2 linked regions of the Bombyx mori genome follow. The protein of the gene in region 2 binds, or shares a complex with, the protein of the main gene of each other region. Links are inferred from orthologs where the notes say so. Each region holds a gene or a part of one and is shown on either strand. Other genes may lie near its edges.

What was found.
Region 1: the proteins of cell cycle checkpoint control protein RAD9A (region 2) and checkpoint protein HUS1 are in contact, whole or in part, in a crystal structure (PDB 3GGR), measured with the Homo sapiens proteins. The link is inferred for Bombyx mori from reciprocal best matches to the Homo sapiens genes RAD9A and HUS1. Residues at the interface, in NP_004575.1 of Homo sapiens: Leu157, Pro158, Pro161, Val176, Ala186, Lys191, Ala192, Met193, Val194, Thr195, Glu196, Met197, Cys198, Leu199, Gly200, Asp203; in NP_004498.1 of Homo sapiens: Thr84, Asn87, Arg90, Ala91, Lys93, Thr94, Phe110, Ser121, Ser123, Ser126, Arg127, Ile128, Val129, Thr130, His131, Asp132, Ile133, Pro134, Ile135.

What each region holds. Positions count from the first base shown.
Region 1 is NC_085134.1:9,690,874-9,695,035, reverse strand, and holds the start of checkpoint protein HUS1, read right to left. Parts: upstream 2,801-4,162; 5' UTR 2,583-2,800; coding exon 2,531-2,582; intron 2,478-2,530; exon of another isoform or gene 2,464-2,477; coding exon 2,257-2,463; intron 954-2,256; coding exon 853-953; intron 1-852. UniProt on the Homo sapiens protein: Component of the 9-1-1 cell-cycle checkpoint response complex that plays a major role in DNA repair. The 9-1-1 complex is recruited to DNA lesion upon damage by the RAD17-replication factor C (RFC) clamp loader complex.
Region 2 is NC_085122.1:9,591,749-9,595,268, forward strand, and holds cell cycle checkpoint control protein RAD9A, read right to left. Parts: upstream 2,228-3,520; 5' UTR 1,887-2,227; coding exon 1,853-1,886; intron 1,778-1,852; coding exon 1,372-1,777; intron 1,300-1,371; coding exon 570-1,299; 3' UTR 501-569; downstream 1-500. UniProt on the Homo sapiens protein: Component of the 9-1-1 cell-cycle checkpoint response complex that plays a major role in DNA repair. The 9-1-1 complex is recruited to DNA lesion upon damage by the RAD17-replication factor C (RFC) clamp loader complex.

The DNA of each region.
Region 1 (4,162 bases), on a different chromosome or scaffold from region 2:
TGAAGACTAACAAGATGCAAATAGCAATGCAGCGTTTTTTATGGCCTTTGTAAACAGACAGGCTTGTGGACACCTGATGGGGAGTAGTTGCCCTCATACATGAAGCAATGTCAGCAATGCCAGAGGCACAGCCAAGTTGCAACCGCTAAGTACTCTTTGTAAGCCTTGTTTGAAGAAGCACATGTCATAGCGCTAAGGAAAGGGGTGAGTTAATTGCAGAACCAGATGGTATGTGGAAAATATCTCTGCAAATGCACTGTGAATAAACACAACACTTTCAAATAGTATTGACAAATTTTAATCCAAAGGCGGGGGTGCGTTTGATTGTTTAAAAATCGAAATAAGCACTATACTGGAACTTGATACTTACAACATTAGTGTAGTCTTTGATTTCAATAAAAATGAATGCATGTTTTTTACACATTCTTACATTCTACATCTTATGAAACTTGCAATAGTATTTAGAATATAAATCAACTAGGTGGAAATCAATTAAGAATAGTACCGGCAGAGGGCGATTTAATTTCACTAGTTACTAAATAAATATTAATAGTGAACATTTCTAATGAGGGACCGCCTAATAACACTTGGATGGACTGCGTGAAAGAGCACATGTGAGAGAAGGGTGTGAGTGCAGAGATAACGTATGATAGGTCTGAATAGAGAAAGAGGACATGCTGACATGAATGAATAGGTCCTCTACACTACGGGATAAAGGCAACAATTAGAAGACTCAAGATTTCTAATGTGTTACATATTAACAAATCCGTGGGGCTTCATTTTATTAAGGTCATTCCTAGGTCTACATTAACCAAGTCATAAGTGAACAGGTGCTATTTATTAAAAGCATACCACTTCAATTTCCAATGTTAGGCACGGACACTGTTTCTTTGTTAACTTCATTTTTAATGATTTTACATTTTTCAAGGAGACAAAAGATCTTGCGAGATTACCTGAAAATTACAGTAAGTTGTATTACGGCATTTTACAATTTTGCTATCTGCCACAGCCATGCTCCTAGTATTACTGATATTCACGAATGATGATGGGCTTTAGAGGGGCCATGATTCTGTTTATTAGCAATAAAAAAGGAACACATTAAAATTCAACATTCCTTATAGTAATTTACTGCACAGTAACATGATTTTTTGTCTGTCTGTCTGTAATATTTATTTTTAAAGCATTGTTATTGATACTTTGCTATAGGGGTGGTTGTTACAGGAAAATCAAGGGTTTTTTGTGATTTGGCAAACTAAACTAAATGATGCATAATGAAATTGATGGATTGGTTACAAGAACTAACTATGATAACTTGGAAAACGATCTAACAGTCCTCAAGTATTCAATATAAATAAGTATCTAAGATACTGTTGATTATTTTACTTTAAGTACACTGGTGGTAGGACCTCTTGTGAGTCCGCACGGGTAGGTACCACCGCCCTGCCTATTTCTGCCGTGAAGCAGTAATGCGTTTCGGTTTGAAGGGCTGGCCAGCCGTTGTAACTATACTTGAGACCTTAGAAGTTATATCTCAAGGTGGGTGACGCATTTACATTGTGGATGTCTATGGGCTCCAGTAACCACTTAACTGGTCCACCCATCTAAGTAAAAAAAAAGTGCAACACATTGTCATAAAAAACGAACAGTTTCAGAACTGTTTATAAACTGCTAATTCCTACACACAAACACCAAAATCTTACAGATAACACCTAACACACACAACCTAACCATGCCAAACACTTAAATTACATTTGTGTTCAATTGTCTCTTATGTTTATTGTTATTTAATTTTCTCTATGTTGAACAGTGTATTAAACAAAGAATGCTAGGCAAAATATAAATACATGTGAAAAGAGGTTTAAGCTATTAATATTGCATGATTATCATTTAAAACATTTTGGAGTGCAAGTAAACAATGATTTCTAATATCTGATTATAACCCCTAAGGGTCTGGAAGTCTGGCATCTTAAGCATAAGCTTAAGGTCAGCTAGTCCTAAAATTTTTCCACTCTTTATATTTTAAATTTTTTTATTTTATATATTTCTAGACACCATGAAACTTTAAATGGTATTGGGAAAACAACAATTTATTATTTATTTAAGATGTACCTGAATGAAGATCACCACTTTTTTAAACTTAATGGCTATTAAGTTAATATCAATGATTATCAATATCTAAACATTTGATATTGGAAATATTCACCAAGAATAATTTATTTATTTTATCATAGCACTTTTTAATGGAAATTATAATACCCGAATTCAATCCTAAATAAATGTCTTGGTGAGTTTCATCCATTCCAACCAATTGATATTCAGAGAAAAATACACTTTGTGGTATTTCACACCATAGTACCGGAGGGGCTGGTCCAGTGTTTTCATCGCTGACAATGAAATACAACATATCGTCTGCTATCCTTAGGACACACTCCTTAGACAGTTTTGATATTGTACTAACAATAGCTGAAAACAAAATTCTGGTTACAATAATCAAAAACTAGTAAGCAACACCATTAAAGCGGAGTTTTACTTGAGAATTCGCGTATTGGAGAAGAGTTATTCATAACAGCACGGAATTTCATAGTGATATGTTTTTCGTCTTTTGAAAACAGTTGTTTAATTCGTGCAAAATGAGATGATGAATTGCACACTATTTTAAGATATATAATAATTAGTAACTAAACACAGTTTCGACATGTAATTTATGTTTTATTTTTCCAATACTGTGTTGTTTTCAAAACTTAGGCAGCGCGAAAATTGAGTGAGCATTGACAATATAGATTTGGCTAGTATTGCAACTGCACAAAAACTCTTATCAGTATTGAAATCGACTTAAAGTGCAAAGGTGATTTCATGATGCAAACATTTTGGTTCATTGAGAATAAGTAACGAAGGCTATCCAGCTGTAGTTTCTGTGAACTAATAATAATGAGATACCCCGATGAAACTGTTAAGAAAGCCGAGAAATAAGTAATGGCTTTGATCTTTGACAAGAATGCTCCTACAATATTCAATTTGTAATTTTAAACATTCTTGCTAAACGGTGTTTTAAATAACAGAGACTTTTAGCTAATTAAAGTTTTTCGGAATGTGTGCTTAAGGTATCTTACAGAGCCAATTGATTTAGTCCCTAAATGTAGAATGATGCTCGTAAGAAAATATTAGGATATTTCTACCGTTTTTGTTGATCATCTTCTGTTAAAGAAGAAAACTCTCGTTTACGCCAGTCTGAATCTGCTACATCTGTACGTATAGGATATACTACGTGAGCCGGAAGCACCTAAAAGAAAAGATCAGAGTATCTTTTCAGCGTGAGACGAAGTTTGATACAAAATTCGTTCTATTGTAAAGAATGTGTGTTAATATTGGCGATGATAAATATTTAATATGTAGGTATAGGTGCATACATTTACATGTAACTGTCTCTATCACAGAGTTTAGTAGTTTGGGTGTTAACAAAAAAGGTAAGATCTTACACCGAGCGGATAAAATTGCTCGGTAGACTAACGGTTCTAATGTTGTGGTTCGAAACTCGTATCTATGCAAATTTATCTTGAAAATGTTGTTAACAAGATTCAGCCTTTATTGCTTAGATGGATAGACGAGCTCACAGCCCACCTGGTGTTAAGTGGTTACTGGAGCCCAAGGACAACGTAAATGCACCCACCTTGAGATATAAGTTCTAAGATCCCAAGTATAGTTATAATGGCTGCCCCACAATACAAAACCGAAACGCATTACGATTTCACCGCAGAAAATAGGCAGGGTGGTGGTACCTACTTGTTATAATGTTATAATGTTCGCCGAAGCACGAGTCGATTGATTCTTTAAGACCATGCGGAAAAGATGCACATCCCTGATTCGCCGGGTCCGGGTCAGCCCTAACAGCATCCTGAAGGCATTAACAGACCATTATGACTGTCGGTACTTGAATCATTGTACCATGGGTCATTTGCGGACTAAATAATAATAATCGCGTTTTTAATAATGGTTGGTTCGAAGTAATTATCAGTTGAATAGAATATTTTAGATGTATTCAACTGATAATTATTTTTAATAAATGTATCTTTTGATGATTGAATGATGATGATTTGAACTTGATTTAGTCGAATCCATTCCTTTGCGATCTGGCAGCTTTGACCATAGAGTACAAACGTCACTG
Region 2 (3,520 bases):
ACTTTCAATAAATAAAAACTACTTTCTGTAAAAATTGTATCAATTTCACTTTGCCTTAAAGCAATGAAGTAGGTTTTTTTAAATCATTAAGCTTTTGAGTTTTGTATCTTGTTTCAAAGAGTTGAGATGGTGTCTTAAACATACGCTTTATATAAAATCAATACATATTGTTACCGAGATAAATACATATATAGTGAGAAATGCATAGTGATGAACCCCTATTTTGGTCTACATCATGATCGTTGATTTGTAATGTGTGTATACTGTTTCTCTGTATGTATATTTTTTGCTATAAAATCAATGCAGTGAACTCTATATTTTATTTGAATCCTTTTATGCCTTTAAGAAAACATAAAAAATATAAATCATATTATTTTGTGGGGAGATCTCTAATCAAAATTATTAACCAAACATCAGCCATAATCTTTGAAGTGGTTTATGAGTCTCCCAACAAATGTAATAAGACCATATTATATTGCTGAAAATTAGATAAGATAATATTGATGAAAATTGGGAATATTTTAATTTTTTTTAATCTGCTTTCAAACAACTTTAAAAACATTATTTTTTTATTCACTGTCTGAATTCTCAGCTAAAATGACACCTTGAATACTTTTTGGATCAAAAGTACTTTCAAAACATCTCTTAAATACTGATTTTATCTTAGTCCTTGAAGTTGGAGATGCTGGAATAACATTATCAAAGTCTATTTGTTCTTTAACATTATCTAAATTATTACTAGCTTTAAGATTTATATCATCAGGGATATCAACAAAATTAAATAGATGAGAGTCCTCTTCTAAGCACTTAGAAAATTCAACATCTATATGCCGTTTCTTTTTTACTGAGCCTTGAGTATTACATGTATCTTTTCTTTTATTCCTTTCCTTTGTGGTAGTGCTCTGTGTTGATGTTGCTTGTGTTGCATTGTCTGGTTTAGATGTTGCTAACACAAAATGTGCTTCAAAAGTAGTTCCATTATGGACTATGAATACAGCTGGACGACCTGTAGTCTCAAAATGAAGTTGCAACGGCAAATTTAATGCTTCAGCAAACGCAAGTAGGGCTCTGAACTCTTTTAATGTAAATGTTATAGTGGTTTCCTCTCCTATGATGTAGTTGTCAAATTCAGCAGGATCTAAGCTTACATGTGTTCGAATTATTTTTGTCAGATCCATATTACTATCAATATAATTTTTTATTACCAGTGACTTAGTTGTGGCCTCTAATGTCACTTGGTCGTCAGAGGTTTGGAAGCTGTTCAGTGTTTCGTTTAGTATTCTTTGAGGTGAAGTAATTCTGAAAAATATTTCATTACAATCTAACAGTGATAAAAATAAATTAATATTTTATTTTGGTTACAATTTTTACCTGTTTGGTACTGTATCTTTAGTGTACACAGCCTGCATCGCTTTACAGTCTAATATTGATACAAAATGTGTCTTAACTATACCATGCTTGCATTTCAAACAAAATATTAACTTGCAAGATTCTGGATCTAATTTCATTTCCAAACTTTCTACCTGTTTATCAATGTGAGCTGGAGATTTAAAGGCGTTTAAAGCAGACTTCATCGATATTTTGCATTTCAGACCTTCGTTATCTTCAGTCGAGTAATAATTGTAATTAAAATAAGAAAAGAAGTTTTTGTTAAATTTAATCATCGCATATGCGGATTCGGCTGCATTCAATGTTCTCAATAATATACAGTCGGGTAATGACTCCAGGTATAATTCATCTCCAAATCGAGCTAAGGTATGTACTGTTCTTGCTAAAACTAAAATTATATAAAAATTATATTCGTTTCCGAGCCAGCATAATTTCAGTATTGATAACACACACTTTATATTACCTTTAACATTAGGCCCCGGAACGTGACACTTCATTGTTATGTTGACTTCCTCAGAAAGTTAACTAAAATCTACTTTAAATTCATTTCTAGGCTTTAACATCAATATAAGGATTACCTATGTTTTCACTATAATTTTTTGTCTAATTTCCTGATCCTGACCTACTGAGATACCAGGTATTATTAGGATGATACGAGTGACAGATATTTGACAGTTCTCGTGATGCGACGACAATTTAATGATCCAAATGATCCAAAGAAAATTAATCCACATGATTATTTTAAAAATTGTACTGTAAATATTTATAAACTATTCTACATATTGATAGATTGACTATTGATGGTTTGACTATACAGAAATATTTTTGAAGTGAAACTTCCTTATCGGCGTTGGAAAAAAATTTACCGTCACGTTTTTCGGTTACGCGTCACTTTTTTCCGTTACGCGCCATCTTTTAATTAACGGCTGTATGTTCTGAAGTATAGATGCGCATTTGAGAAACCGACCTCATGTCTCAAGGTGGGTCACGGAATACATTTTGTAATTGCAATAATCCCAGGTAACCCACTTAATATCACGTGGACCGTGCTATTATTGTTATTACGTAAAATAATAGGAAGAAAAGTACCAGGGTATTATGATATCAAAGAGATGTATTATTATAACTTTACTCTGACGTACAGCCTTCTTTATTAATTAACGGCTGTATGTTCTGAAGTATGGATTCCGATTTGAGAAATTGACCTCATGTCTCCAGGTGGATTACGGAAATCATTTTGTAATTCCAATAATCTCAGGGAGCCCACTTAATAATATCACGTGGACCGTGCTATTTATTACTGTTATTACGTAAAATAATAGGAAGAAAAGTACCAGGGTATTATGATAGCAAAGAGATTTATTAATAATTAACGGCGGTATGTTCTGAAGCATGGTTTCGGATTTGAGAAATCGACCTCATGTCTCAAGGTGGGTCAAACTTCACGAACCTCAGGAACCCCATTTAACACCACGTGGACCGTGCTATTATTATTAATTTATAGGAAGAAAAGTACCAGGGTATTATGATATCAAAGAGATGTATTATTAAAATGCTGTAATAATCTTAGTAGCAAAAAGGTAAAGTGAAATAATTGTATTATTTGTATTCATGTCTATTGTCTATGATAATAAAATCCTTTTGTTTAAACTTTATCTAATTTAACTTTATTTAACCAATTTCTAGAAAGTTGCATGTAGATCATTTTTCGAAAAATAAGGCCATAAACAAGTTTCACTTCTTACGTGTGTACACTAGTACACGCACACATTTTTTTATTTAGTACCATTGTAACAAAATCAATAAAGAGGAAGAGAAAATGTTAATTTATTTATTATTGTTTAATAATAAATTACCTATTTTATACTACCCTATGGTTATATTAAACAACAGATACAAAGTAGAAATAAACAAACCATCCTCTTTTTTATTGTGTATTAGGGTGAATGATAATCATATAAAATCTATTGTGAAATTACGGTATGCATGTATATATAAATTATTTTAAAAGAGGGTTTTTTAATATTTATCTGGTCACAATAGCAATAGGCAGGACTTTCGAATCATAATTACAGTTAGTTATCGCTAAGTGAGTACTCGCTCAATCTTATCGCAGTACTGCAAGTATTTA